Struthio camelus: one gene and its partners. The main gene of each other region encodes a partner of the protein of the gene in region 3 in a complex. Links are inferred from orthologs where the notes say so. Each region holds a gene or a part of one and is shown on either strand. Other genes may lie near its edges. The genes, in order: STX7, BET1L, STX5 and VTI1B.

Region 1 (7,483 bases), on a different chromosome or scaffold from region 3:
TCAAGATCTCCTTTTTGTCTAAATGGCAGGCTGGAATAATGAGAGAGAGAGAGAGAGAGAAGCAGAACCAGTTGACTGAGATGTACAGTGACAGAGCAGGCAACCGAGAGGGAAAAGCTGCTGTGATGCTGGCTGCGATTGTTTTCCTGTTTTTCTGGTCACTCTGTTTCTCAACAGTCATAACTGATGCCTTCTTACTCCTCCCTTTGCCTTTGATGTCTGTTTGGTTTACAAAGTCAGACTCTGTCATGATCGCTTTGACTTTTTTTCTCCATGTTTTCGAAAAGCAATGAAGGTGACTGAATTGTAAAATGATGATGATGATGAGTTTTAAAATGATGAAGCTTTGTTGCTCAACAATGACCTCGTTTTCAAAATGAAAATCTATAAGGTTCTATCCGAGAATGGTTGCTGACCTCTAGTTCATAGATTTTATTCCCTTTAATAGCTTTCCTTCTGTACGTCTGTATTTTTTTATCTGAGCAAAATATTGCCATTTAATTTTACGCCCTGTATAGCACCTTATCATTTTAAACCTTGATTTGGCTGAAGTTTGAAAGATTATGCATTTGAAGGTACTTCTTAAAGACTAGGCTTTGATATAATGTACTATCAATATTGGCTTGTTTCACTGCTGTGGATGAAAACATAATATGGTCTTACGGAACTAAACAGAAAGGCAAAGAAAGTTGTGGAAACAAGTTGTGAAAATAAGTTGTGAAAAAAGTTGTGAACTTCATGTTCATCCTTTTTTAGGAAATATTATCAATGTTAGGAACAGAAATCTTCTCCATTCATTTCAAACATATATTACCACATTAATCACTTCTGCTGGAGAATAAGTGTCAGCCTAAATAAGACACAAATGGTTGGTAGAGTTATTTAAACAAATAGGCTGTAGAAGCCATTTGGCCATGTAATTAGTCTATAAGCTTGTTCAGGCTGGAAACCTTCTTACGTCATAATTTTGTACAGCATCTGCTGTAAAATGAACATCGTCTTATTTCAGGTTCTTGAGGTGATAGTTTGATTCAATTAGCAAACAGAAACAACAACAAGAACAGGAATTCTTCACTCTAATGGAGTGCATTAATAGCAACCGGTTGGGAAATCCAGCTAGACTGTTTGCCATTTGTAGCAAATACTAGCAACATTGCCCTTGAAATCTAAAGTTAGAGGCGCATAAACGAAATGTGATAACAGAGAATGAAATTTGCCCATAAGGTAAATTATGCCCCACTTACACACCTCTCACGCCTTGGAAAGAGGATACTCATTAAGAGTATGAGGACAGGGCTGGGCCTCCTCCCTATCGTTTCTTTGTGCATCACACAGGCACGACTACTCAGCTCCTCTGCCAAAAGCAGCTCTGGTGCCTGCAGCACCTCCTTCCTGCTCTGCAGCTGCCTGCCCAGGGCCGCCACCGTGCTTGGGCCCTGCGTGGCAGCAGGCTAAGGCTGAGGGCAGGAGCAGGATGTGGGAGGCAGAAATACAGAGTCAAGGAGCAGGAAGAGCCCAAGGATTCAGATACGGGTCTGGGAGAAAGGTGTGTCAGTTCAAAATCATGCTGTGTTGTTTCTGGTTCACTTTCAAATCTTTCAAATATCAGATACCGTACTGCATATGAACCCTCAAGAGTCTGAAAGTAAAAGGGGAAACGACATCGCTTTTGAGGTGACAGTTCTTTTAGTTCAGTTTTACACACAGCAGCAGGAATATAAAATGGCATATACCCTGATTTTCACAGTCACAGAATATCCAAAGCATCCTCCATGGTACCCCAAACCTATGCATCCCAGAGTCTCAGCATTCTTCCTTCTCTCCCCAGGGCTTTTCCTCATTTCACCTAGTCAACTGATATTTAACCATGCTCCAAAAGCAGAAGGAAAGGTACTCCTTAAGGAGGTGAGTATTTGATTCTGAACTCAGTACACAAGTAATAACTGATGTGGGAACTCTAGAAATAAGTCAATGAAATGAGTTTATACGTAAAATTGTGTGGCAGCACTTCTCTTCTGCATCTCTGAATACAAGAGGTGCTTCTTCACAACTCCTGTTCATGGAGTAAGCACCACTGAAAACATCCATATTTGCTAGTAAATGAAACCATGCAGAAATTGAATGAATACTCACGTTTTATCCAAAAGGGTAAGGCAAAGCAGCATTTCCCTAGTAAATGTTTTTTCTATAGGAGATAACAAATATCTTCAAAAGACATATCGTGCTCTTAGCAATATCTGACCAAATAACAGGACTTTCTGGCTGGTTTCTTAACTGTATCTTCATAATTATTTTATACAATTATATTAAAGAGTCAATTCAAATATTTTCATAGTATGGACAACATTTTAATGACGAGTTTGCTTTACAAGCCAACGTTCCTTCCAAGCTATAATATCTTTGCAGCAACTTGCTACATCAAAGAGCAGTATCACAAAAATTCTGAGCCGATGAACAATAAAAGACGGATGCTAAGCGAGCTACTAACAGCATGTGAGCAGCAGCGTTTTGTCCATAAAACACCAAGTGTCTCTATGAAAGCACTTGGATACCGCTTTTCTATAGCATAAGAATGAACATTGACCCATGTTTATGATGACAGCACATTGCATCCAAACTATGATCTGCAGATAAAGTATTCTCACTCACAAAGGGTCACTAGGGTCACTTCTCTTTTTTTTTTAATTAGAAGTACATATTTGAAATCAGATAGCAAGAGATATATTGTTTTCTGGGGGAAAACTGACAGTGATCTCAGCTGAGGCTTTATAAATCAAGAGTGACTGAGCTTAATCAATGGAGAGAAATCAATCAATATGACAAAAATGTGAAGATAAAAATCAAGGCAGGGCCTTAATTCAGAAGGGAAGCGAATTATACTGTCATGAACGCACCACCTAGTGGAATTACCTTGGACTGAGTACTTCAACAATACTTGGAAAAAAGCCCCACAAATATAGCAGCACTAGGATAGTTGCTTATCAAAGTGGCACGTGAAAAATTGAATGAAGAGATGTACACCATGCCTGCAGCAAATGAAAGGAAGGACAGACATATCAAAATGCTTTTTCTTAATAACTTTAACTTATACAAATAAAAAAAGTTCATTTCCCAGCATCAATCCATGAAAGAAATATGTGTAGCTATACCAGTCTTGGAGACTACATTGTCTCTCATTGCAGCATACTTTGAGACACATTAAAAATCACCTATGTCAGGGGCACCCTTTCTGAAAAGGGTAGATACTTCAGGCTTTTTAACTTCACCGAACTCTGTATTTTACTGGACTTCTTTATTAGTGTTACTAGATTATGATGTTATTAAGGTTTTCATTGTTCTGATTATTTCTAAACCTTAGCAATGACTGAGCTTTATGTCATAGCAGAAGTAAACTACCGTGCCTATGAGGCAGGTCAAGGCTTGGCAAATGAGTACACCTTCCAATGTCTGTAGCTCGTCTTTAGACAAAGCTGGGTTTTGCTGACAAGATTACTTTCCAGAGCAATCACATACCGTGCACTGCTTGCTCTGCTGTATTTAATGTACACGGGAGCGTCTTGTACACCAAGCAGGCCAGCCTGCAGCGCGCTGGAGAACATCTGACCCTGTAATTTTCCCTTCAAAAAGACAAGCAGGATCCAGAAGCATTCCCAGCTGCGATGCAAGAGGCCTAAAGGCTCATTTGTCCCTTTTTCTCAGGTAACTGGGTCAGGAGGGGAACGGATCCCCCATTTCCTGGCTCTGCTTCCTGGTACCACGTCTTCTGCTGCATTTGCAGTTATATACCATCAGTTACTACTGACACACTAAACTGACTGCTAACAAATGCGTGTATGTACCCTTCATTTTTCATTATTCTAAACATTTCTTGCCTTCTCTCTCAGCTAATTACTGATTACAGGCCTCTAAATAAATTTATCATTTTCCACCCACCTTCAGCCTCTAGAAGTGCCCACTTCCATTTAGAGATGAAGTGACCAGAACTGGAAGTCGTGCTTCAGCGAAGGATGCTATGGAAGTCAATGTAATGACATTGAATTCTTCATTGTTCCACCACTACCTCGTGCATAAATATATAAACTTCTGCTGCAACAGCATCTTTTCCTTAAATGACATTCTCACATAGGCAACTCTTTCACTCATGCACGATCACAGTGTGCTGACAAGCTGGCTAAAGTGCATACACATTTCCTTTTTTTCTTCTGCGTGCGCACTGCCTTGCACGCACCCTCGAAGGACTACCGCCTTTTCAAGCCTGAACCCATGCAGACAGCAAAAACAAAACCAAAACAACCCCCCCACACCCCCCCAACCCAGAAACCTCGGCCGGCAGGGTCGGCACGCAGCGGGGCACCAGCCCCCCAACAGCGCCCAAACCCACTCTCCCTTCACCCACTGGCGCCCCCGGCGGGGCCGGGGCCGGGGCCGGGGCGGGACGGGACGGGACGGCACGGGGCGGTGCCGCGCAGCGCCGCGCCGCGCTGTGCCGGGCGGCCAGGCCCCGGCCCCGGCCCGCCCCCTTCGCTGCCGCCCGCCCGCCGCGCCCGGGGGAGCAGGCGCGCCGGGGCCGGTGAGACCCGCGGCCGGGTGGGGAAGGGGCTGCGCGGCGCGGAGCGGGGCGGCGGCGGGGTGGGAGCCGCGGCGGCTGCCGGGCGGGCCTGGCGGCCGGGCCGGGCCGGGCCGGGCCGCCTCCCGGGCGGCAGCGGGGCGCGGGGCCGGCCGGGCTGCGGCCTGGCGGCGGCGGCGGCGGCGCGGGGCCCGGCGGGAGAGGGGCGGCCAGGAGCGCGGTGAGGGGCGGCGCGGCCCTGCCAGCGCCCCGGGGCGGGGGGGGGGGTAACGTTTGTGTCAGCTCTGGTGTGTCCAGGGGGGAAATGGGGCCTGAAGGCGGTATTTGGGACAGGGTATGGTGCGTTTTCACGTGTGTGGCCGGGGCTGGTTTTCCGTGGTGATGTTCAGCGTCGCCGTGTCAAAACATTCCCCGTGTTGTTTCAGACCTCAGATGAGCAAAACACGTCAGCGGAGGGAAGGAAGATTATAAAAGTCAGACGGATATTTAAATAGTGAGCTTGGGCCTGGCATTTTGGGCTTGTGGCACAGCGTTATCGCTGCTTTTCTCGTTGAGCGCCTTGCTGCCGCATGAGACGCAGACACTTGCAACTACAGGAGGAAGTGAAAGGTTTGGCTCTGCTCTGCATGAAGTGCAAAGCACTTAATGGTAAAACCTGGGAATACTTATGGCCGGGACTGAGGTGACCGCGTCTTCTCACCCTTTCCCCTGATAAACAAGCAGTGCCCAGCTGCAGAAATGTGCCGGCAGGGCGAGTGCTGTGCAGCTGCCTGGAGGATTCGTGACTAATAGTCATACCGTCATGTGTTTCGGCGGCACTGCAGTCCTGCTGTTTTAAGCTTTGGGATTTACGTGAGTGCTCTTAGCAAAAGGAAAGAAGAAAACAGAAGTTAAAACACGTTAAAACAGGGATGCTAAATGCTACGTTGAGGCATTGCCATAAACTGTATTTGTATATCCTGCATGACAATATCTTTTGTAACCTCATATGCAAATACTAAGTTACTCTTATGTTGGTGGCATAGGTGGAAGAGATGCTCTTTGCATACTCCTCATGGTCTTAATTTCTAAGTCATCGTCTTGGTGGGCCTTGGAGAGAATCAGCATCTAGCACAATCAAACCTTACGCAAAGATGATTTCTACATCAATATACTTAATCTGAGCCCTTGGTTAAAGGTGCACAAGCTCTCTTTAGGGAGGTTTGGATAAGAAAAGGTGTATTGCACTAGGTGTTCGGTGGCGTTGGTCTGTATTCGTTTTCTCGTAAGATGTTGTTAGCCTGGATCATAAGGAACGGGGCACTTTGAAAAAGCCATCTCCATTCCTCTTTCAGCCCAGCTGCTCCCTCTCCTTCGCTCCCCAATAGTTCCAGTATCCAGTGTGTGTTTTACTGTTCCAGCTTCGCTGTCAGGCCTCTAAACGCTCTGTGTTCTCTGGGGAACATAATTCCCCTTGTTAAGGTATTTCCTTGAGAACTAACGTGTTTTGTTGCACAGTCTGATAATTCTTATTTTTCATATTTAAAAAAAGAAATACTTCCAGCAATTACATAAAGTAAAACTTGGTTTTGGTGTGTTTCAGCCTAATTTTTGAGGCAAGGCTGGGAGAACTGGGCTTGCTTAGCCCGGAGAAAAGGGGATTTGACTAAACTCACTCCTGACTCCGGTTTGAGCAGGAGGTCAGGCTAGAGACCTCCTGAAGTCCCCCCCCCCGCCCCCAGCCTGTGTGATTCTGTCACTGTGGTAAATCAGAAATTGTTAGCAGTCTAGTTTAAAATCTACAAAAATTAAACACTTTCCGTTTTACTCTGACAATTAACTGGACAGCTGTAGACTTTGTCAGGGAAATCAAACCGTCCCCATATTGGTTGTAGACACAGCTTTGAAAAAGCATTTTACTGTATGTTGTATGTGACTGATTTGCGGGGTGCAACGTATGCAGTAACTTAGCAGAGTGAAATAGAAAAATACCGTCTGATGTCGTCTATGTCACTTACTGCATAAGAACAACGGAAGTTTTAAAGAGACTTTGTTGTTCCTCAGTACCCTGTGTGGATTTAAGTTTGACTTTGGCCTGAAGATAGATGATGGAAGTTAACATCCAGAGTCTTTAGTATTCCTTTTAAGTAGAAAGGGAAGAATACTCTTTATGCCTGTTCTGTTTGCATGTATATTACGCTCCATAGGTTTTCTGGTGTTGTGGAAGTGCCCAGAGTCCCTTTGTGGTCCAGGAATGCAGCATGTTAGGAACTGCAGAAGCACAAGGTGGAAAGTATGATCTCTTTTTTCCAAAATACTTCAGCCTAAGTATAAGGGGAGAAAAAAAAGTAAATGCATCCAGACGAAACTTGCCTCCCTCATCCCTGCTGGAGAAAATAGTTTTAATTCTCACCTGTATATCATACAGTGTTTTAAGTCAATTATGAACATCCCTCTGGTGCTGTAGTAGGGAGTACTTACCTTACAGTGTAGAGTCTGTTCTTTTTTCCAAGAGCTTTAATTTTTTTAAGTTTAATTTTACCTACTCCAAAGGGATTGCCAAGGTCAGCAAGAGCTGCTGTCCAAAGACAGTATGTGTTTTGGGCTGCCTTAAATAGCTGCCAGTGTCAATCTTTAGATGCACTTAGTGTCATCTCGGTACTATGGGGGGTAAAACCTACTGAGGTGAAATAGATTGAGCAATGTCATATTGCAGAAATCTTATTAATCAGTTATTACTGTGACATTAATGTTCTAAAGCTAAGATTGTGACTCACTGTCACTTTTTTGCCAGAATCTTTCTGCTGTTTACATGTTCATCCTTTTTGACTGTTTTCTCCTTATGTGAAGGATTTTGTACAAATCCTTTTTTGAGGGGAAAGGGGAGACAGAGATTTCTTTACAAAGGAAGTCACGTTTATAGTTTGGAAATCATTT
Region 2 (7,295 bases), on a different chromosome or scaffold from region 3:
CAAGCTGTGCCAATACATTTTTTCCCCTTGATATTTATTGTTCCATTTCCTTACGGAAAGGAAGTACTGCCTCTTGTTATTTGCAAACAGATCCTTGTGTTCTTCATTCCCACAGTGTCTGGAAGTACAACTGTTTTTCAGCTCATGTTCTTTACACACAACTGATTAGCAAAGGTAAACACCCTTCTCCACATGGCGTCTCACAGGGTGCGCTTTACTGCCCTGCATTACTTTGCATCAGTACTTGAACTTGCACTTGCACTTGAACTCCACAAAACGTTGCATAAATATCCCCCACCAACTTGGGCGGCACTGCGGGGTGGGGAGGTAAACAAGTTCATCTGAAGTCTGCAGTTTCTTTCACGCAGCTCTCAATAAGCCAGGCTTCACAACAAGTACTGCAAAGAACGTATTGCTAACAGCAGGCATACAGAACAGCTCACTCCATCCTATTCACCTTTCTGCTTCTGCGAGCACTTCTGCCAGAGAGGTCCACAGATCAACCGTGCGGTGTAGGAGCTTTTCCTTTCACCAATGTGTTGTCTCACAAGTCACAGACAAGGACCGTTAGATTAGTCAGTCCGATCTCCTGCATAAGACGGTCCCAGAACTTTACCCATTATGGTCTTCTGGGAGAAGAAGCGTAAGGAGGGTCAATATTTATATAGCTAGACAGAGGTTTGCGGATGTCATTATCTCCATCATTTTCTTAACGCTCCCCATCACCTCTTTTGCCAAGTTACATTGCACAGATGCATTTACGAAGCTGTTCAATAAAGACAATTAGTCTTACCACAAACAATCATTCTTATAACCTGGACTAATTCTTCTCCTGAGTGATTGCAGTTCACCGAGATCCCATCCGTATGTCTGAATAGCTCAGCTTGTCTCCTACGGTATGTATCACCTTATGGTTCTCCTGCCCATGAGCTGCTCAGTTGTCCAACTGTATCTCATTCCCTGCTCACTGCAGTCAGTGATCGTCTGCACTGAGCTTTTGGAAATCACACGTGTTCCTTGTTAGCCTTGACTCATTCACTCTGCAAGCATAATCTCCTCTGTTGTTCACTGCCTTTTACACACAGGGCCAGCTCCTGGCTACTTGTAAGTAGACGATACAGTTTGCAGATCAACAGCGTCACAGTTACTAAGATCCCTGGGACAGCTTTGGCTTTTTTGGCCTAGAACAAAGAAGGATGGATACAGTGATGCAGACATGCCAGCTAAGAAACCTCGGTGCAGAAGCAGGACATCTGAATTCCTGTAAGCGCTGTGCCAGGGGCTGGCCTTCCATGCTTTAGCGCTGTGAGTTGGTACGCACACAGGCTGTAGCACCACATTACAAGGAACTGGCAGTTCAGTCCTCGAACCGGTGTGCTCTGAAGACAGCGCCATGTCACTTGTTCTTTTCCTTTCCCATCACATCTTTTTTGCAAGTTCCTGTCATCTCATTCGTATGGGTTGCTGCAATACCTGTGGTTTTGCTTCAGTTGGAGTATCCTCCCGTATTTCATTCCTGGCAACCAAGAATCGACCGTATCTATAATAGCAAACTGCATTCCAAAAACATGCCCAGGAAGTGATACCTTACTATCAGTTTTTGCAGTGAAAACTCATGTAGAGAAGTTGCTTAGTTTATTTGTAGTTTCCTATCCTCTTTGACTGCTCCATTTCTTCTAGACCGACTAGCAAAATCACTGACATTCTCACAAGTTTCCTACGCTTGATACACCGACAAAGGATCCAGCTGGAGGAATTCTACCAAGAACGTCTTAAATTTGACACATTAAACTCCCTCTTTGCTCTCCTGATTTCTTCAGCATTACGTCCACTGTAGGTGACTGTAATCCTGCTGACCGTCTTTCTAGTGGGGACCTTCTGCTTCTTAGTTCAGATTTCCAATGTTTCGAAAGTGACTGCTGGGAATAGTTGCACATTTTCCCCGTGCACACTTGTGCACAATACTTGCAGTTTTTCCCTGCTTGCTTCCCACCTGCTTAAGAACAGTGCAGAATGAGTCATGTAGATCTGCAGGGCCAGCCCTATCCTGGTGGAAATGCTCTAAGAGATATTTCCCTGACAGCTAGAGTCTATTTCAAAAGGGAACTACCCCCACAGATCATCTTTGCTGCTTTAAGGCTAGGAACACTTCCATTTCTGCTTCCTAGCCGTTCTTTTCATATCCTATATTCATTTTTTATCCTTTTCTTATTGTTAGCTTTCAGATCAGGCACCTGTACCTAATTCCAGCAGTCCATCCATGTCCACCGCTGGTGATCTTTTGCTTGCAAATCACAGCCACTATTTCACCTGCAGCTCCTCCCTGGGCCTCAGTTCTATTACCTCCAAACCTTGCTTTAACCTAAAAGCTCCTCCTACTTCATATTCATGCTGATGTTTATTTCCCTACCATGCTTTACTTGTGCTCCGGATAATAAAAAATGCTTTCTATGTGCTTTAATTCCAGTACACCAAGGAAATAAGACGAAGAGATGCTGCTTAGCTGTTCCTTACCAAAACACGAAATACAAAACCGTCTGCAAACAAAAGATGAAGCGGTCTACAACATTTTTACGGCAGTAATGCAGAGACAGATGCGCTTAGAGGAGACAGACGGGGGACCGCCGGATGGCACAGAAATCCCACAACATGGCCAACCTGCTTCTAGGCTCACAAACAGAAGCAGCTGACGTCAGGCAGAGGTTTGGTGCTCACTCACCTCCTGGTTGTAGACCTGAAGCACCTTGAGAACTGTGTCTTGCTCCCCGCTTTCCACCGTGGCTACCACAGTCCTCAGCTCCATTATCTCACCAGCTCAGCTGCTGATGGAGGCGAAACAGGCAGGAAGGGGAGCGAGGGCACTTCCAGAGCTCCTGGACAACGCTGATGCGAAGGGACCTTGATACACAGAGAACCGAGGGAGTGAGAAAGGGGTGGGGGAAAGGAAGGAGGGAAGGGGGGAGAAGAAAATCCACACACAAAACAAAACCCCCAAAACACAAGTGGGATCGCTCACTCCGCTGCGTCCATAAAAGCAGAGCAGATAAGATAACGCAAGCAGAACCAGGCGCTAGCTCCCTCTCCCTCTAATCCTGTCTTCTTCTCTTTGCCTCCCAACATTTAACATCTGCCCTCCCAGCACAGCACTCAGGAAAACCTTCCCCCCACCCAGCCAGAGGATTAACATAGAACAGATAACAGCAGCTCCCTGAAATAGCTCTCTGCCTCCTCCTCCTCTGGCTGTCCTGATTTCTGTTACTGCCCAGGAGCAGGGGGGAGGGAAAAAAAAAAAAAAAACAGACTCCTGTGGAGTAAAAAGGGATGGAGAGGAAAGCAAGGCAGAGAGGCAAATACCATCCTGGCTCACTTAAGACTGCCTTTTAAGGTGGTGAAAAAGGTAGAAATCATTAGGATTTTTGCCGAACCTGTTGAAGGGGATAACCCCGTGCACCGGGGCCCTCGGTGCCTGCGTTTTGGAAAGATCAGGGCAGACACACCGCGTACGCCTCGAAACCACACATCCGGATGACGGCTGGCCTGCTTGAGACCCTCAGCAGACAAGGTCCTTCACGGTAAGGGCGTGAACGAGCAGATGCGGGTCTACAAGCGTGAGCCAGGACAGATGCTGTGTCTCCGGCGCTGCGCTTCCCTGCGGCTTTGGGGGCAGAAAAAGCAAGAGCGGGCTGCAGCACTTCTCATTTTTGCTTCACTCCCCCCCCTCCCCTCCTTCCTCGTTTAAGTTCCCTCCGCGCCATTCCTGCGCCCGCCGAGGCCCCTCCGAGCCCTTCCCCTCCCTCCCTGCCTCCGCGGGAGCCGGCGGCGGCGAGCGGAGCGCAGTTACCTGCCCCTGCGGACCCGTCCCTGCCCCGCCGCCCCCGGCGGGCTTCGCGGGTGAACCGCGGCGCCTGGCCCGGGGCTGGGCGGGCGGCCTCCGCCTCTCGGGGCGCTACGTGAGGCCAAAGGGAAGCCGCGCCTCCATTTCTCCCCTCCCCGTCCCCGGGTTTTCTCTCACAAGTTCACTCGGGGAGAGGGCGGAGCGGGGGGGGACACCGCGAGCGCCCCAACGCCGGCGCCGAGGAGGAAGAGGAAGGAGCCTGCGTCGCGCTCTCCCCCCCCCCCCCCCCCCCGCCAAAACGGCGGCGGTGGCGGCGGCGGCCATTTTGTAGAGGCGGGGGGCCGGCGGGGCTCCGCCTGCGAGGCGGGCCCGCACCGCCGCCTCCCGCCGGGGCCGGGCGCCGTCATGGCGGAGTGGGGCCGAGGTGAGGGGGAAGAGGGGAACGGGCCAAGCCGGGCCGGGTTGGAGGTTCCCTTCTGCCCGCTGCCCTGTGGGGTGCGGCGCGCTGCCACCGCCGCCATTTGGGGGATCGCCGCCGTCGCCGCCATTTGGGGGATCGCCGCCTCGGGGCCCGCGGGGGACGGCGCGGCGCGGGGTGACAGCGTCGGTAGCGCCTCCCCCCCCCACCGGCGACTGCTTGTGGCCCCCCGAAATGCTGGCGGAAAGGGTCGCGCTTCTCGCCGGCCCTTGCGGGGATGCCGGCGGGGCTGCCTGGGCAATGACGAGGGGAGGTGTTGGGGGACAGAAAAACCAGCGAAGCCCAGAAGCGCTTTTACAGCCTGACCCCGCTGCAGGGAAGGGTAAAAAAAAAAAAAAAAAACAAACTGGCCTTTTCCTTCCTTTAGCCAAAGTAGCGTTCTGTGGAGATGCGCCCTGTCGCTGGTGCATGGGACAACGCGCGTCCCCCAAGCGAGGGCGTTGAGGGCTACTGGCGCGCCTCCGCGCTTTTTTAGAGCTACTTTTGGCGGCTAAAGCCCCCCGGCACGTTTCAGGATTTCTTTCCCGAGGGCTCTGGCCCTTCCTTTCGGTGGAAGAGCTTGGGGGGGGAGGGAGGGCGTTTCATGGCGGTCGCCATCCGTCCCCTGCGCCGTGGGATGCGGGAAGCGCGAAGGCGGCTGAAACGGCCCGTCCGGAGCGCCGCAGCGACCCGTCCCACAGCGAACTCGCTCTCCTCCTGGGGCGAGCGAACATGCTGCCACTTGTAAGTGGGACCGATAAAACCCTTTCTCTTTTTGTGCCAGGTCAGAGTCCGAGCACCGTGGAGGATATGTTAGATGCCGAGAACAAGCGTATGGCAGACAGTCTAGCCAGCAAGGTCACCAGGCTGAAATCGGTGAGTTGCTGAGTTCGCATCCGGGGCTGCGGTAAATGAAGTTTACCTGGGCTTCAGTTGCCTGCGTTGTTCGTCTTCCTCACAGCGCCTTGTGGGAGACGCAAACCTCTGGCCGATACAGAGGGCTTCCTCTTTATAAGCAGCTCTTAAGAGAATGTTGTAGTGGATCTAATAGTCAACTTTCCCTAGTGAAAAGCGGCATCAGGTAAGGCGTTTTAGGCACAGAGAGAAACCTGAGAGATGCACAGAGGAGTGTTGCTAAGTGCATCTCCTCTGGAAGAAAAGTCACAATAAAATGACAAGCTACTTTTGAAAAATACCCAGGTATGTACGCATGTGGTGTTCTAAAAGTTAGTTTGCCCCTGCTAACGTCAAGTACTTTGATTTAGAACTTAGTGTAAATCAGTGATTAGTATTATAGCAGGTAGGACTGATTTCTGCTGTTGTGAATATTTAAATGCTTGTGTCATATATATGAAGCTTCTGTCTGATAGTAATGCTTTACTTCCAGTGCTATAGAGCAAAATCATTTAAACAGTCATCAACGGAAATGAGAATCCTGTTCTGTCATTGTACCAAACAAGGCTCTGTAACTCTATACAGGAGGCAGGGGGAGGTGGTGGCTTGCTCTTCTATTTGCGTTTCAAATTTTTCCAGCTTTGGATGCGCTAGAGGTGGTCTCCATGTTAAAAGTTCATTAATACCTGTTTCCTCCCTCATCCTGTATAGCTGGCTCTGGATATTGACAAAGATGCTGATGAACAAAACCATTACCTGGATGGCATGGTAAGAAAGCAATGAAACGTAAAAACCATGGTTTTTTTGGGGGGGCTAGCTCTCAAGCAGTTACCTTATTTGTGAAAGTTAATAGCAGTTCAGTAAAGGAGAAAAAGTTAGATTTTCCCGTTGGCAAGCCACATAATTCAACTAAACCCGCTTACTGTGGGTTTATTGATAAATAAACATTAGCTGCTCATACCGCTTTGAATGGGCAGCATAGCCAGGTATCTAGCATCTGGAAACACCCACGTAGGACAGTGTACTCCAGCAATACAGATGGAGATTACCTACTTACTGGGATTAAAGACCTGCCTCCTGTAGCTAATACTGGGAGATGGGCCTATTCCTCGGTTACTTCTGTGATTTTTGGTAATGTTGTATAAATCTGTCAGGATTACTCACTGTAATCTCTGAAACACAGAATAGCTGTCAGGGTTCACTGATGTCTTTGGAAGGAGCAAGGCTCGCGCTCAGAGTGCAATCAGGTTGTTAGGTTCCCTGTTCTGTTATCATTCTGCTTTAATTTCTAGAGGTAACATAAACATCGCATGCACAATGGCTGATAAAACCAAAGTCACTTTCCGGAGTAATCTGCCTCTTAAGCTTTGGTTGCTGATGGAGAATCCCCGTGCTGTGGGGAAAGGCCAGGATGACCGATTACTATATTAGTGCCTAGAAAATATATTATCATTTAAGGTCAGAAAACAAGGTAAGGTTTCTCTTGCCTCTAGATTTTCCCTATCAAATTAAATATTCCTATATTTAGGTCGCACTGTTAGTTTCTGCAGCGTTACCTAAATTGAAATACCTTAAAAAGTTATGTAGCACTTGCAGAGGAAAGACTTGTAGCAGAGGCAGTAGCAGAGGGCTTACCTGCTGAGGCTTTTTGGGAGAAACATAACTCATTAACTGAACTGTGAGAGGAAGGGAATCCCACACAGCTATTTGAGAAGAAGGTTAGCACAGTAACACTGCTGCTTTGAGAGACTTTTCTGCACATGCTGCATTTTTGACAACTGGTAGGTGGACTGGAGAGAAGATAATTGTGGCATTGAAGCCAATTGAGTCAAAGATGTGAGCTCAGCTGGAATCTTAATAGCAGCACACAGTGACAGTGTTGCAGTATCTGAAATGGATACTTAACTCAGCCAGGAAATTAAGGCGACTGGAGAATCAAAGTAAAAGATGTTATGGCAAAGAGCTTAAAGGAGAAGTCCTAAATAAACATGAAATTATGCTTCTGTTAGGGGAGCTTTTCAAAGATTTCGGGAGAAACATGAGTAGAAGCTACAAATAATGCATGAATAAGGAAAGCAGGCCAGGAGTCAAAATTAAAATGACTGAACT
Region 3 (7,541 bases):
GGCGGTGGCCGTGCGCCCGCTGTGGCCCTGCCCCTGTCCCCCTGCCTCCCCATGAACGTCCCCGAGTGTCCCCCCGTGACCCCGTGAGTTTCCCCATGTCCCTGCACATCCCCACGAGTGTCCCCCATGTCCCTGTGCATCCCGAGTGTCCCCCCATATCCCCATGAGCATCCCCCTGTGTCCCCTGTGTCCCTGCGTGTCCCCTGGAGTGTCCCCTGTGTCCCTGCCCATCCCCACGAGTGTCCCCCCACGTCCCCACGAGTGTCCTCCGCGTCCCTGCGTGTCCTCATGAGCGTCCCCCCCCATTTCCTCCCAAGTGCCCCCTCGGGCGTCCCCATGTCCCCATGAGCCTCGGGGGCGGCCGTGGGCCGATGTCCCTGCAAGTGTCCCCCCACAAACGTCCCCGCGAGTGTCCCGGCGTCCCTGCGAGCGTCGGGGGTGGCCACGCGCCGGCTGCAGCCCCCCGTGTGTCCCCCCGCGAACGTCCCCCCGCGAACGTCCCCCCGCAAACGTCCCCCCCGCGAACGTCCCCCTGCGCATGTCCCCCCGCGAATGTCCCCCCCCAAATGTCCCCCCACAAACGTCCCCCCCCCCCACTCACCGCCCCGCAGGTGAGGAACGACTGGCTCAACCTCCGCGTCCCCGTCTGGGACCGCGACCTCCAGTTCCTGCCCAGCTCCGACAAGATCGTGACGTGCACCGGGCACCACCAGGTCGGGGGGCACGGACCGGTTTTTGGGGGAAGGGGGGCCCTTTTGGGGTGGGGGGCGCTTTTGGGGGCCGGTTTGGGCCGGCGCCGGACCCTGCTGCCTCCCCAGGTGCGCGTCTACGACCCCAGCTCCCCGCAGCGGCGGCCCGTGCTGGAGACGACCTTCGGCGAGTACCCGCTGACCGCCCTCTCCCTCGCGCCGGGGGCCAAGTGAGTCCGGTTCGTGGCGGGGGGGGGGACGCCCGGACGCCTGGGCCCACCCTGACTGCTCTGCCCCGCAGCTCGGTGGTGGTGGGCAGCGCCCGGGGGGACGTGGCCGTGATCGACTTGCGCCAAGGTGAGGGGCGGCGGGGTGGCCCGGCGGTGGGGTGGTGGCCGGTGGCCCCCCCCTCACCCCAGCTGTCCCTGTTCCCCCCTCCCCGCCCAGGGCGGCTGCTGCAGTGCCTGAAGGGGGTCGCGGGCGGCGTGCGGGGTCTCCAGTGCCACCCCAGCCTGCCCCTCGTGGCCTCCTGCGGCCTCGACCGCTTCCTCTGCGTCCACCAGCTGGGCTGCAGGCGGCCGCGGCACAAGGTGGGGCTCCGCGCGCGCCTGTCCCCTCCGTCCCCCCCCCCCCGAAAACCCCGGCCCGGCCCTGAGCCCGTCCCCGTCCCCCCTCCAGGTCTACCTGAAGTCCCGGCTCACCTGCCTGCTGCTGAGCGGCCGCCAGGACTGGGAGGTGAGCGCCCGGCGCGGGGGACGCGGGCGAAACGGGGACGCCGGGGGGGGGGGACACGGGGGGGACGTGTTGAGGGACGTGGGACGCATTGGGGGGACTTGGGACACGGGGGACTTGGGGACACGGTGGGACATGGGGACATGTTGAGGGATGTGGGACGCATTGGGGGGACTTGGGACACGGGGGACTTGGGGACACGGGGGACTTGGGGACACGGTGGGACATGGGGACATGTTGAGGGATGTGGGACGCATTGGGGGGACTTGGGACACGGGGGACTTGGGGACACGGTGGGACATGGGGGGATGTGTTGAGGGACGTGGGACGCATTGGGGGGACATGGGGCATGGGGGGACATGGGGACACGGGGGGACATGGGGACATGGGATGTGTTGAGGGACGTGGGACACATTGGGGGGACATGGGGCATGGGGGACTTGGGACACAGGGGGACATGGGGACATGTTGAGGGACGTGGGACGCATTGGGGGGACATGGGACACAGGGGACTTGGGACACGGGGGGATATGGGGGGGACATGTTGAGGGACGTGGGACGCATTGGGGGGACATGGGGCATGGGGGACTTGGGACACAGGGGGACATGGGGACATGTTGAGGGACGTGGGACGCATTGGGGGGACATGGGACACAGGGGACTTGGGACACGGGGGGATATGGGGGGGACATGTTGAGGGACGTGGGACGCATTGGGGGGACATGGGGCATGGGGGACTTGGGACACAGGGGGACATGGGGACATGTTGAGGGACGTGGGACGCATTGGGGGGACATGGGACACGGGGGACTTGGGACACGGGGGACATGGGGACACGAGATGGGATGCATTGGGGGACATGGTGGGACACAGGACACATCGGGGGAGCAGGGGACATGGGAGAACACATTGGGGGACATGGGACATGGAGATGTGGGGGACACGAGACGCATTGGGACATGGGATATGTTGGGATGGGAGGACATGGGGGACACGGGACACAAGACACATTGGGGACTTGGGACACGGGGGACTTGGGACACATGGGGGACACAGGATGCATTGGGGGACATGTTGAAGGGACATGGGACATGGGGGACGTGTTGAGGGGGACATGGGATGCATTGAGGGGACATGGCACATGGCGGGACATGGCGGGACGCAGGACGTGGGGGGACATGTTGGGGGGACACAGGACACGGGTGACACAGGGGATGTGAGGGGACATTTTGGGGGACATGGGGACATGTTGGGGGGATACGCTGGGGGGACTCAGGACACGGGTGACACGGGGGATGTGAGGGGACATGGGGGACGTGGGGACATGTTGGGGGGACGGGGGGATGCAGGACACAGGGGACACGGGGGATGTGAGGGGACATTTTGGGGGACATGGGGGGACATTGGGGGGATACGCTGGGGGGACTCAGGACACGGGTGACACGGGGGATGTGAGGGGACACGGGGGGACGTGGGGACATGTTGGGGGGACGGGGGGATGCAGGACACAGGGGACACGGGGGGACGTGGGGACATGTCGGGGGGACATTGGGGACGCAGGACACGGGTGACACGGGAGATGTGAGGGGACACGGGGGACGTGGGGACATGGGACGACATTGGGGGGGAGATGGGGACATGTCAGGGGGACATTGGGGGGGCTCAGGACACGGGTGACACGGGGGATGTGAGGTGACACGGGGGGACGTGGGGACATGTTGGGACATTGGGGACTCAGGACACGGGTGACACGGGGGGAGGTGGGGACATGTCAGGGGGACACGACGGGTGACACAGGGGACATGGGGGGACGTGGGGACATGTCAGGGGGACATTGGGGACGCAGGACACGGGTGACACGGGAGATGTGAGGGGACACGGGGGGACATGGGGACATGTCAGGGGGACACGACGGGTGACACAGGGGACACGGGGGGACGTGGGGACATGTTGGGACGGGGGGACGCAGGACACGGGTGACACGGGGGATGTGAGGGGACACAGGGGGACGTGGGGACATGTCGGGGGGACATGGGGGACGCAGGACACGGGTGACACGGGGGATGTGAGGGGACACGGGGGGACATGGGGACATGTCAGGGGGACACGACGGGTGACACAGGGGACACGGGGGGACGTGGGGACATGTTGGGACGGGGGGACGCAGGACACGGGTGACACGGGGGATGTGAGGGGACACGGGGGGACGTGGGGACATGTCGGGGGGACATGGGGGACGCAGGACACGGGTGACACGGGGGATGTGAGGGGACACGGGGGGACATGGGGACATGTCAGGGGGACACGACGGGTGACACAGGGGACACGGGGGGACGTGGGGACATGTTGGGACGGGGGGACGCAGGACACGGGTGACACGGGGGATGTGAGGGGACACGGGGGGACGTGGGGACATGTCGGGGGGACATGGGGGACGCAGGACACGGGTGACACGGGGGATGTGAGGGGACACGGGGGGACATGGGGACATGTCAGGGGGACACGACGGGTGACACAGGGGACACGGGGGGACGTGGGGACATGTTGGGACGGGGGGACGCAGGACACGGGTGACACGGGGGATGTGAGGGGACACGGGGGGACGTGGGGACATGTCGGGGGGACATGGGGGACGCAGGACACGGGTGACACGGGGGATGTGAGGTGACACGGGGGGACGTGGGGACATGTCGGGGGGACACGGGGGACGCAGGACACGGGTGACACGGGGGGAAGTGGGGGGGCGGGTCCCCCTTGCCGCCCGTCACCCGCGGTCCCCGCCAGGCCCCGGCCCCGGCCCCGGCGGCGGCGGCGGAGGAGGAGGAGGAGGAGGCCGAGGCCGAGGCGCTCTGGGCCGCCATGGAGACGGTGCCGCCATCCAAGAAGCGGAAGGCGACGACGTGAGGCGCCGCCGCGGGGCCCCCCCGGCCCGTAACGGCCTCTTTCCCCGGCCCATAAAGGACTCTCGTGTCGCCCCTCGTGTCCCGCGTCCCCGATTTTGCGTGGGGGGGGTGTCCCGGGTGGGGGTGGTATCTCAGGTGGGCCCCACCCGCGCCCGCCGCCATCGCCCCTTTAAGGCGCGGGCGCCTGACGTCGCGCGCGCGGCGCCTGACGTCGCGCGGCGCGAGACGTGGCAGTGACGTCGGGCCGGGCCGGTGGGTGCCGGGCAGCAGCGCCGCGCGCTCGAGCCGCGGCCCGGTGAGCGCGGGGGGGGCGGGGCGGGGCCGCGAGCACTTCCGGGTCGGCCGCGCTCGTTGGGGGGGGGGGGGGGGGGGTCGCCCCGAGCCGTCGGTCCCTCGGACGCCTGGGCCCCTCCCGGGGGTTTGGGGGAGGGGCAGCGTGGTGCCGGACACCTGGGCCCCTCGGACGCCTGGGCCCCTCCTGGGGGTCGTGGGGGGGGGGTGGGGCAGTGGGCTGCAGGACACCTGGGTCCCTCGGACGCCTGGGCCCCTCCTGGGGGTCGTGGGGGGGGCAGTGGGCTGCAGGACACCTGGGTCCCTCGGGCGCCTGGGTCCCTCTAGGGTGTTAGTAGGGGTTGGGGGGGGCAGTGGGGTCCAGGACACCTGGGTCCTCGGGTGGGAGGGGGTGAGGGGGGGAACGGTGGCCTCGGACACCTGGGCCCCTCCCGGGGGTTGGGAGAGAAGCCCCACTCACCTGGGTCCCTCGGACACCTGGGCCCCTGCAGGGGGTTGTGAGGGGAACCCCCGGACGCCTGGGTCCCTCGGACGCCTGGGCCCCTGCAGGGGGTTGTGAGGGGAACCCCCGGACGCCTGGGTCCCTCGGACGCCTGGGCCCCTGCAGGGGGTTGTGAGGGGAACCCCCGGACGCCTGGGTCCCTCGGACGCCTGGGCCCCTGCAGGGGGTTGTGAGGGGAACCCCCGGACGCCTGGGTCCCTTGGACGCCTGGGCCCCTGCAGGGGGTTGTGAGGGGAACCCCCGGACGCCTGGGTCCCTCGGACGCCTGGGCCCCCCCAGGGTGTCAGCAGGGCTGGGAGAGGAGGGGAGCGAGGGCTCCCGGACACCTGGGTCCCCAGCGGACCGTAGGGGTGTGGGGAGGGTGAGGGGGGGTGTCCCCGGACGCCTGGGTCCCTCTCAGGGGAATTGGGGTGGGGGTGGGGGGGCAATGGGGTCCCGGACACCTGGGTCCCCCCCAAGGTGTTAGTGAAGGTTGGAGAAGGAGGAGAAGCAAGGGGCTCCCGGACGCCTGGGTCCCCGGGCCGCAGGAGGCCCCGGACGCCTGGGTCCCCAGCAGGTGTTGACGGAGGGGAGTGGGGGGGGGGGTCGCGGAGGTCCCCCCCCGGCAGCAGCGGGTGCCCCCCAGCTGACGCCCGGCCGGCGGCAGGTGATGAGCCCCGATGAACGCGCGGCGCCGCCACGGCTCTAGGAACACGGAGCAGGGCGTCTACCTGGGCCCCCCCCGGACGCAGGCGCTGCCCCCCGCCTCCGCCGCCGGCCCCCCCGTCACCGCCGCCGCCCCCCCCGCCGCCATGTCCTGCCGCGACCGCACCCAGGAGTTCCTCTCCGCCTGCAAGTCGCTGCAGAGCCGGCAGGTGAGTCCTAAAACGGAGAGGGGGGACGGGGGGGGGACACACGCTGCCCCCCCCACTCACCCCCCCCCCTTCCCCGCATCCGTCCCCCCCCCCCAAGAACGGGCTGCAGCCCAGCAGACCGGCGCTGAGCGCCGCGCGGCAGCGGAGCGAGTTCGCCGTCATGGCCAAGTGAGTGATGGCGGGGTGGGGAGGGGGTCGCGGTGAAGTTGGGGGGGGGCCCCCACGCGTGTGTCCCCCCCACACACACCATCCCCGGCTCTCACGGCGCCCCCGTCCCGCCGCAGGCGCATCGGCAAGGACCTGAGCAACACCTTCGCCAAGCTGGAGAAGCTGACGATCCGTGAGTGCGGCCGGGGGGGCGCAACGCGGGGTGGGGGGGGACACGACGGCGAAGACCCTCACCCCCCCGACCCCCCCCACCTTCTCTACCCCCCTCCGCCTCGCAGTGGCCAAGCGCAAGTCGCTCTTCGATGACAAAGCGGTGGAGATCGAGGAGCTCACCTACATCATCAAGCAGGTGGGGGCCGGGGGACGCGGCGGCGGGGACGGACGGACGGACGGACGCGCTGACGCCCCCCCCCTTCCCCCCCCCCGCCCCGCAGGACATCAACGGCCTCAACAAGCAGATCGCGCAGCTGCAGGACGTGGTGCGGGCCAAGGGCAGCCAGAGCGGGCGCCACGTGCGGACTCACTCCAACACGGTGGTGGTGTCGCTGCAGGTGCGATGGCGGCGGCGGCGGCGGCGATGGCGGCTCCCTCCGCCCCGCCGCTCACCCTGCCGCCCTTCCCCTCCGCAGTCCAAGCTGGCCTCCATGTCCAACGACTTCAAATCCGTGCTGGAAGTGAGGACGGAGGTAAGCGCTCGCCCCCGCGCCGTCGCCTTCCCCCCCGCCGCCGCCGCGCCGGCTCTCACCCCGCCATTGCCTCCCCCCAGAACCTGAAGCAGCAGCGCAGCCGCCGCGAGCACTTCTCCCGCGCCCCCGTCTCCGCTCTGCCCCTCGCCGCCGGCAACCTGGGTGAGCGCTCGCCGTGGCGGGGCCGGGGGGGGGGGACCCCGGAGGGATGGGGTGGTGGTGGGGGGGGACGTTCGGTGCGGGGCGGTCTCGGCCCCCCCGTCTCCGCGCTCAGGCCGCGCTCTGCCGCAGGCGGCTCCGCGGTGCTGCGGGAGGAGGCGCCGCGAGCCGCCGACGTCGCCATCGACATGGACGCGCGGAGCGGCCAGCAGCTGCAGCTCATCCACGAGCAGGTGGGGGGACGGGGGACGGGCGGCAGCGACGCCGGGGGCCGACCGCGCAGCCCCCCGACCCTCTCCCGCCCCGCAGGATTCGTACATCCAGAGCCGGGCCGACACCATGCAGAACATCGAGTCCACCATCGTCGAGCTGGGCTCCATCTTCCAGCAGCTGGCGCACATGGTGAAGGAGCAGGAGGAGACCATCCAGAGGTAGCGGCCCCCGTGTCCCCCCTCACCCCGCGCCGGGCTCCCCGCCCTCAGCGCCCGCCTCTGCCCCCAGGATCGACGCCAGCGTGGAGGACGCGCAGCTCAACGTGGAGGCCGCCCACGGCGAGA
Region 4 (6,902 bases), on a different chromosome or scaffold from region 3:
AAGGCTGTTCGGGCCTCTGCACCAGAGTAATGTGCCATCAGGACACGTTCCCACCACCATTATATCTTGCAGCTGGGGTTTTCACCAAGAAAAAGGATAACTAGGTGCTATCTGTTAGACTCCCAACTCTATAGATGGGAGTGCAAGATAATCCTCCCTTAGATCCAGAAAAGGGACTACTGATACACATGCGCACACATATCAGTTTCAAAGGGATGCTTGCTGATGTAGGACAGTGACTTGCCTCTTCGTGCAAGATCTCTGGCTGTCTCCTTCCCAATGCCTGTGTTGGCTCCTGTGATTATCACCACCTTCCCATCTAGCTTAGCTGTTGACTTACACTGTCCTCCAGCAACATACCTCCTGGAAAAGAAGATAACAGGAACAAGAGGATAACAAGAAAAGGTCCAAGGACAGTTTTTCTGGTTATGAGGTACAGGCCAGGGCTAATCACTTACAGCTCTTGGTTGGCTGTGCCCCAGCAGCTGGGCCAGTTACTGCTCTCAGAATAACCTGTGATTCATGTGGAGAGTTACCTAAAGTGGTTCCACCTGCCAGTTCACTACACCCCTCCTTCCCTCCTCAAGCTTCCAGCAGCTGCCTCCTCTGATTAGGTGTCCCGATCAAGCCACCACGCCAGGTTCCTAGTCATCTTCAAACCCCTCTGCTTTGAGCGTAGCGCCAGTGCTCGAACACAGAGCCGACAAGCCCAGCTCACCCTCGGCGCAGCTGACGGCCAGTCGTGCGGAGAGGAAGGCTCGGCGAGGACAGAAGGGCGGGCACCATCACCGCCTGGCACAGAGGCGCCTCTCCCAGGCCCTCGCGGGTGAGGCTCGGGTTTCCACGCCGTGCTGCCGCACTGCCACCAAGAAACTCGCAGCCACGCCGCTAGCCCGGCGGGAGAGGCCAGTCGCGTCGCTCTCGGTCGGGCCCCCGCCGCCCTCCAACCGCCGCCCTCGCGCCGGCTTCGCCCGGCCGCGCCGTTGCACAAAGTGGAGCCACGGCTCCCCATTGGCTGCCGCCATCGGCAGGCGGCCATGCGGCGGCTGAGCCCATGGGCGCGGCGGCGGCTGCCCGCCCCGCCGAGCCGCCGCCGCCGGAGCCCCGCTCGGACCGCCGGATACAGCGGCGCAGCTGTATTTCTGCCTCCTAGGCGGGACGCCTTTCCCGGAATAAATTTCCAGCTGTGGGAGCCTGAGGAAAGGCAGGCAGAAACATTTCAAGCCACCTCTCGAGGAGCAGACGGAGGTGCGAGCCAGCCTACTGCTCGCAGCTGGGGCAGCTGTTGCTTTCTATTGTCTCCCAGTAGCTGATACAGAAGAGCACAGAAACTAGGGCAAAAACTGAGCGGAGACCTAAGAGCATCCCAAATCCTAGGGCATGCGCGAGATTGTTTCAAATACATTGTTAATTAGACACGAGAGCTAGAGAAGTTGAAGTAACATTTTAGCCCCACGAGGTTAAAAAAAAAAACTATTTTATTTACCTTCCTTTTAAAAAAAAACCTAAAACCTGATGGGGACAAAGACCCAAGCAACCAGGATTTTTTTTTACCTAATCCTTCTTCCTAGACATTAAAGGTGCTACTGAAGAACGGATATTTCTATATATCTTTTATTTTCTGCACAGGCATTGAATGATTTGTATTTATTTATTTATTCATTTATTTTACGAACGCAGAAACCAAGCCCGCTGAGAGCTTGCACAGATTTAACACAGCCGGCGCCAGACGGGGCTGGCTGCGATCGCCTTGCTTAAATTCCTGTACGAGCTTTTTTATTTATTTATTTTTTTTTAAGAGTCACAGACTCACGCGCATGCAAACACTAGGCCCCCGGACCCCTGAAATAACGACACACCCCGGCCTGCGCCCGGGTGCTGCACCCGCTCCCGGCGCCGGCACGGACGACGCGACCTGCCCCCTCTCCCATCCGCGCCCAGGAGGGCTCCCCGCGCACCCAAAACACGCGTACAGCAGCCCCGACAGACCTGAGGTAGGGGGCTGCCACAAGGAGGAGAAGCGGGAGTGAGACAGCCGTCCCCAGCACGGCTCCCCAGCAGCTGAGCATCGCCGCCGCCGGCTCCATGCTCGCCGCCGCTCTGCCTGGCAGCCCGGGCCAACGGGAGGCCCCGCCCCCGAGACGCGAGGTATGCCGGGAGCTGTAGTCCGCAGCCGCTTCCGCGCGCGGCATGCCGGGAGCTGTAGTCCGGAGGGCCCCCGCACAGCATGCCGGGAGCTGTAGTCCGCAGCCGCCACCGCCCCCCCCCGCACGGCATGCCGGGAGCTGTAGTCCGGAGCCGCCCCCCCCCCAGGAGCGGAGCCCGCAGCGGACCCCGGTGGCGGAGGCGCGCACCGCTGCCTCCTGGCCGCGGAGGTCCGGTGCGGTTCCGCGTGTCCTCGATCACGGCTGAAGAGCTCTATGTCCCCCCTAGGTTTTCCTTAAAGTTACCCACGCTGTGATTTCGTTTAAATCCCTGCCTGCGCTGTGGGCGAACGACACGTTTTTGCTTGCTTGCCCCGGCGCTGCAGCAGTAGCCTGGCTGCGGAGGAGCAGGCCGGTGCCCGGGCCAGCCTCCCCGGTGCCGCCCTGAGCATCCCCTCCGGCTCAGAGACCACCGCGCAGGTCTGGGCACCCTGGCTGTCGGACACTGGCTGTGGGGCTCGGCGCTGTGCTGCCCTGAGAGCAACGTTTGCAAGACAGCAGGCACCTCACACGTGTGTGCAATGCCCCTACTTCACCCACTAATGTCACTTAATTCCACTAAGGTGAAAGGAATTTCAGCTGTGCTAGCTGCTCTAGAGTCCTCTTCCACTGAGCCTGGTTGCTACGCTAAGAGATTCACGTTTAGCTCTTTGCTGTAAATGTACTACCCTACTTGAAATATCAGCTTGCAGTATAAAGCCAGCTGGCTCTGCACCTTCGGTCTAATGTTTTCTCCCGATGGAGTACACATCTCTAACCTTTGTCTTTCTGAACTATTTTAAACAATAGTTCTGCTGTCTTAATAAAACTTTCCTATTATTCGGCTGGGAAATACCTGAAGAGAAAGCTCAGGAGTGGTCTGGAGGACAGTTATGCAAAACGTCAAAGTAAGGTCATTTATCTTTAAGCCCTTTCTTAGCGTCATTCCTAAATTTATGATATTAACCCCAGCAAAACGTACAAAATGGGTACGTATACCTATATGCCCACACATATAAAGGGCTGGGGGACACGCTCCTGCCTCCAAGTCCGTGTTCAGTCCGCAGATGTTCACTCTCACCTCTACCAGAGAGTTAAAGCAAAAGTCCGGGGCACCAAATTGCTTTGCCTCCTGGTACCTGAGCTTCCCTGCAGACGCGCGTCCTGGCCCCAGCTGCAGACAGCGCGGCGGCCTGGCCGCAGCCCGCCTTCCTGGTTCTCGAGAAGCAGCTGGAACCCAGGGCCCTGCACACACACACCCCTCCGGGGAAAAAGCCTGTTTCAGGGCGTGCCTTCCTGTCAAGGTATACCACCTGTACGACACAAAGACGCTAACCGCAGACGCGACCTGCCATCGCAGTCGGAACGAAGACGTTTCACGTAAAGCCTCTTTCGGGCCGGGAAACATCGGCTGCAGCTTCAGCCGCGCCCGCCCCGCCGCCCCCGCGCAGCCTACGCGCCCCAGCGGGCACTGCGCGGCGCGAGGCCCCGCGCCCCGCCTCGGGGCTGCCCCGGCAGCGCCTGACGCCCCCCGCGGCCGTTGGCGGCCGTTGGCCGCTGCCGACGCCGCGCCAGCCCTCTCGCCAGGCGGCTGGCGGTCGAGCCCCGCGGGGAGCGGTCCGGGGGGGGCGCTGCCGGCCGTGCGGCCGGCGGCACCGGGCGGTTTTGCGGTCGGGCCGCGCTTCGGGGCGCCCAGCGATGCGGAGCGGGGGGTCCACGGCGCCGCCGGGCTGGGAAGCGGCCGCCAGGAAGCGGCGATGCGTCGAGCCGCGCGGTAGCGGCGCGGGCCGGGGGACGCGGGAGCCGGCGGCGGCGGCGGCGGGACGCGGCTGCCTGCCATGGCGAGCCGGGGCTCTGGCTCCTCGGAGCACTTGGAGCGGCTGCATGAGATCTTCCGGGGGCTGCACGGAGACTTGCGGGGCGTGCCGGAGCGGCTGCGCGGCAGCGCGGCCGGTGAGCGGGGCAGAGCGGCGGCCGTTACCCGCGGCCGGGGGGGAGGGGCTGGAGCGGCGCGCGCGGCCAACGGCCCCCGGGCGCGGCCGTGACGGGCCCGGCTGGGCTCCACCGGGCGGCAGGGCCTTGGCCGGCCCTCGGACACCTCCCCCGGCGAGGGGCCGTTCCCCTGGCTGTGGCGGGGTCTGGTCGCTGCGCCGTTCGTCGCTGCTTCCCTTCCTCCCTGCTCGGAGGCCCCTCTGCCGGGCCCTTGCCGGTGCTTCCCGGCCGGCCACCCCGCTGCATAGGTGGGGCCTGCTAACTAACAGGACAGCTGCAGGGAGCCTGGGTTGCTTTTCTGTAGATAAATCCATTTTTACAACCAGAGAACAGAGTCTCTCTAAAAGCCCTTATGGAGGGAAGGAGTTTGCTAGGACAGTTGCAGGAAGTTGGTGCATCACTTCGAGCTGACTTTCCTTCCCCGCGACTGTCCCTTGGTTTGCTTCCTGGGAGGTCATGCTGTCGTGGCTCTGTTAGGTCCGGCTTCTCTATGTCTTATTTTCCCATTACTGCTATTTTCTCATAGCTTTGCTGTGGAGTATTGGGCATAGTCATGTAAAGCCCCAGACATGGAAACAGCTGGGTGCTTGTGTCACTTTACCCCTGGGGAGCAGTTCCTCTTGCCTGGCAAATTGCAGCTCTGCAGCCAAGCGCTGCTGTGCTGCTGGGCGTTCAGCTTCAGTCTCAGCTCGGTGGAGAGGTGGTTACTTGGTGGCACTAGAACTTTACCTGGATTTGAAGTTTTAGCATATTTTCATGCTATTTGCAAGTGAACTGCCTGAATTGCATTTCTCTCATCAGTGTTGCTATCTTGTTTCAAGATTTCAGTTCAAAATCTCATCAGTTGAACTAGAAGCTGTTTTCAGCAGTACGTTTGTCTGAAACAGTTCATAGATTTATTTACCAGTGAAATTTTCTATTGTAAAAGACTGTTTTAAAAGTGTGGTCTGTGCCCTACTCACAGCCTAGAAAAACAATCTAATGTAAAGCAAACTAGACAAAGTTCTGCTAGGCACAAAATCTAATTGTTTAGGAATTCTTTGCTAAGTAATGGAGCTCATACTAGTGGTTAAAACACTCTCTGACAGAACACCTCTCTGTAAAGACTCTGTAGTGCCTTTCCAATTCAGTTCTTAATATTCGGTTGTGTTCTGAGAACTGGAAAGGGAAGTGATCTGGCAAGGAGAATTCTACCAGTGTGGCCGACTCTGGTTAAATACTTGCTTTAAAGGAGAAACGCGATACGTAATTGTCGTGAACTGCTGCAACCAGTTTCTTCTGAGTATGGGTGTTCTTTTGAATGAGTAGAGGTTATAAGCCATGCTCTGTGATAGTTTAGTCTTGTGATCCCCAGAATTCCTTAGTTCCATGTATTTAGGTATAAAATCACAAATCCTGGAAATAATTGGTTTGTTCAGAATCTACCACTCTGCGTGCTAGATAACACGTGCTATGAAAAGCTTAGTATTCCATTTCGTATCTGGCTCTGTATTTAATATTGAGTTAAATTCAGGGTCACAATCCTCATTATCAAGGTTCCAGAGAGTTTGGCACAAGAGGGACATTCAGAACTGCAAATTACAACTTTCAAAGCTGACTTAATTTCACTGCTGGTCAGCAAGAGTAAAAAACATACCCTCTCTTGGAGAATGGCCTGTGAATCTGGATATTGTTTGCATAAAATTTTTTGAAGATGGTTTTATGAGACAGCGACTGTCCCTGCTGCCTTGAAATGCAGGATCTGTCTCTTAATACCTGACTTTAAGGAAAAGAATGAGAAAATACTGTGCTTGCATCACTGTTTACTTGAAGGGCTCTGAGGGAATTGAGAATGTCACTAACATTACTTTGGGTTGAAAAGTTCCATAGAGCAAGAAGTACAACACTCTCTATTGTAATTTAATTTTATATTTATAATATTAAAATAATAGAAATTCCTTATAAGAGATCCTCACTTTCTTGTAGAAAGGAGAGTGATGAGTTTTTCAGTAAAGTAGAGCTTTGTCAAGACTATAATAGTCTTGAGCGGTAGATGTAAACAATATTTACAGGAAACAATTTTTGCAACGCTTGCAGATTTTTCAAAAGATTACAAATAATTACAAATTGATTATTTCAGACATGCTACAAAATTTTAGTATAATGATGTTATTCTTTAAATCTGTTACTGGAAAAAACAATAATACTCTGGAAAGTATTTCCAAGAGAGTTTAAGATATGTTAGGAATTTCTCTATCTGGTGAAGGCATGCTGCACTGCTGGTGTGCTTTGTCTGCTTCTAATACATATGGGGTGTGCATGTCTCTCTTTCTTGAGATATCTGATTCTGAGAACTTCAGGAGACAATAAAAGAAATTTTACACACTCCTTTTAAGATGTCCGGCACCTTCCCAAAACTCCAGGTAAGACAATCTTTAGTTCCTTGGTAGCCATCTTTGAGGGACGCAAATTTGGAAATGCTATTCCGTTCTGTACCGATAAGATAACGGAATCCTTGATCTGGAAACCTTTTCTCTTCCACGTTTATAAGAAAGCATTTCAGATAGCCTGGATCAGTTTAAAATATACGTTTCTCTAAAGAAATTCAGTTTTTTGTACTTACAAAAAACAGTACAGCTTAGGTGCGTCATGTAAATGAGAGGAGCTATATTATAATGTTTTGATCACTTCAAAACTTTCTCCTGTTCAGCTGTTGAAAGCTTAGTGCCTTAAAAAGCTGCTGTTCAT

The links.
Region 1: STX5 (region 3) and STX7 share a complex: the UniProt entries of both Homo sapiens proteins name them as parts of the SNARE complex. The link is inferred for Struthio camelus from reciprocal best matches to the Homo sapiens genes STX5 and STX7.
Region 2: STX5 (region 3) and BET1L share a complex: the UniProt entries of both Homo sapiens proteins name them as parts of the SNARE complex. The link is inferred for Struthio camelus from reciprocal best matches to the Homo sapiens genes STX5 and BET1L.
Region 4: STX5 (region 3) and VTI1B share a complex: the UniProt entries of both Homo sapiens proteins name them as parts of the SNARE complex. The link is inferred for Struthio camelus from reciprocal best matches to the Homo sapiens genes STX5 and VTI1B.

Annotation. Positions count from the first base shown.
Region 1 is NC_090944.1:71,939,679-71,947,161, reverse strand, and holds the start of STX7 (syntaxin-7), read left to right. Parts: upstream 1-4,465; 5' UTR 4,466-4,570; exon of another isoform or gene 4,571-4,587; intron 4,588-4,758; exon of another isoform or gene 4,759-4,787; intron 4,788-4,992; exon of another isoform or gene 4,993-5,136; coding exon of another isoform or gene 5,137-5,176; exon of another isoform or gene 5,177-5,249; intron 5,250-5,901; exon of another isoform or gene 5,902-6,028; intron 6,029-7,483. UniProt on the Homo sapiens protein: May be involved in protein trafficking from the plasma membrane to the early endosome (EE) as well as in homotypic fusion of endocytic organelles. Mediates the endocytic trafficking from early endosomes to late endosomes and lysosomes.
Region 2 is NC_090946.1:7,685,352-7,692,646, reverse strand, and holds the start of BET1L (BET1-like protein), read left to right. Parts: upstream 1-4,294; 5' UTR 4,295-4,487; coding exon 4,488-4,635; intron 4,636-5,076; coding exon 5,077-5,168; intron 5,169-5,897; coding exon 5,898-5,954; intron 5,955-7,295. Other genes in the region: RIC8A (synembryn-A), read right to left, coding at 2,720-2,803. UniProt on the Homo sapiens protein: Vesicle SNARE required for targeting and fusion of retrograde transport vesicles with the Golgi complex. Required for the integrity of the Golgi complex.
Region 3 is NC_090976.1:561,331-568,871, forward strand, and holds the start of STX5 (syntaxin-5), read left to right. Parts: upstream 1-4,523; 5' UTR 4,524-4,619; intron 4,620-5,763; 5' UTR 5,764-5,776; coding exon 5,777-5,971; intron 5,972-6,068; coding exon 6,069-6,139; intron 6,140-6,255; coding exon 6,256-6,311; intron 6,312-6,417; coding exon 6,418-6,488; intron 6,489-6,573; coding exon 6,574-6,690; intron 6,691-6,768; coding exon 6,769-6,825; intron 6,826-6,905; coding exon 6,906-6,987; intron 6,988-7,116; coding exon 7,117-7,217; intron 7,218-7,293; coding exon 7,294-7,415; intron 7,416-7,485; coding exon 7,486-7,541. Other genes in the region: speckle targeted PIP5K1A-regulated poly(A) polymerase-like, read left to right, coding at 612-713, 819-919, 991-1,046, 1,137-1,279, 1,368-1,424, 4,206-4,325. UniProt on the Homo sapiens protein: Mediates endoplasmic reticulum to Golgi transport.
Region 4 is NC_090946.1:46,592,373-46,599,274, reverse strand, and holds the start of VTI1B (vesicle transport through interaction with t-SNAREs homolog 1B), read left to right. Parts: upstream 1-3,891; 5' UTR 3,892-4,021; coding exon 4,022-4,136; intron 4,137-6,902. Other genes in the region: retinol dehydrogenase 12, read right to left, coding at 245-363, 1,990-2,192. UniProt on the Homo sapiens protein: V-SNARE that mediates vesicle transport pathways through interactions with t-SNAREs on the target membrane. These interactions are proposed to mediate aspects of the specificity of vesicle trafficking and to promote fusion of the lipid bilayers.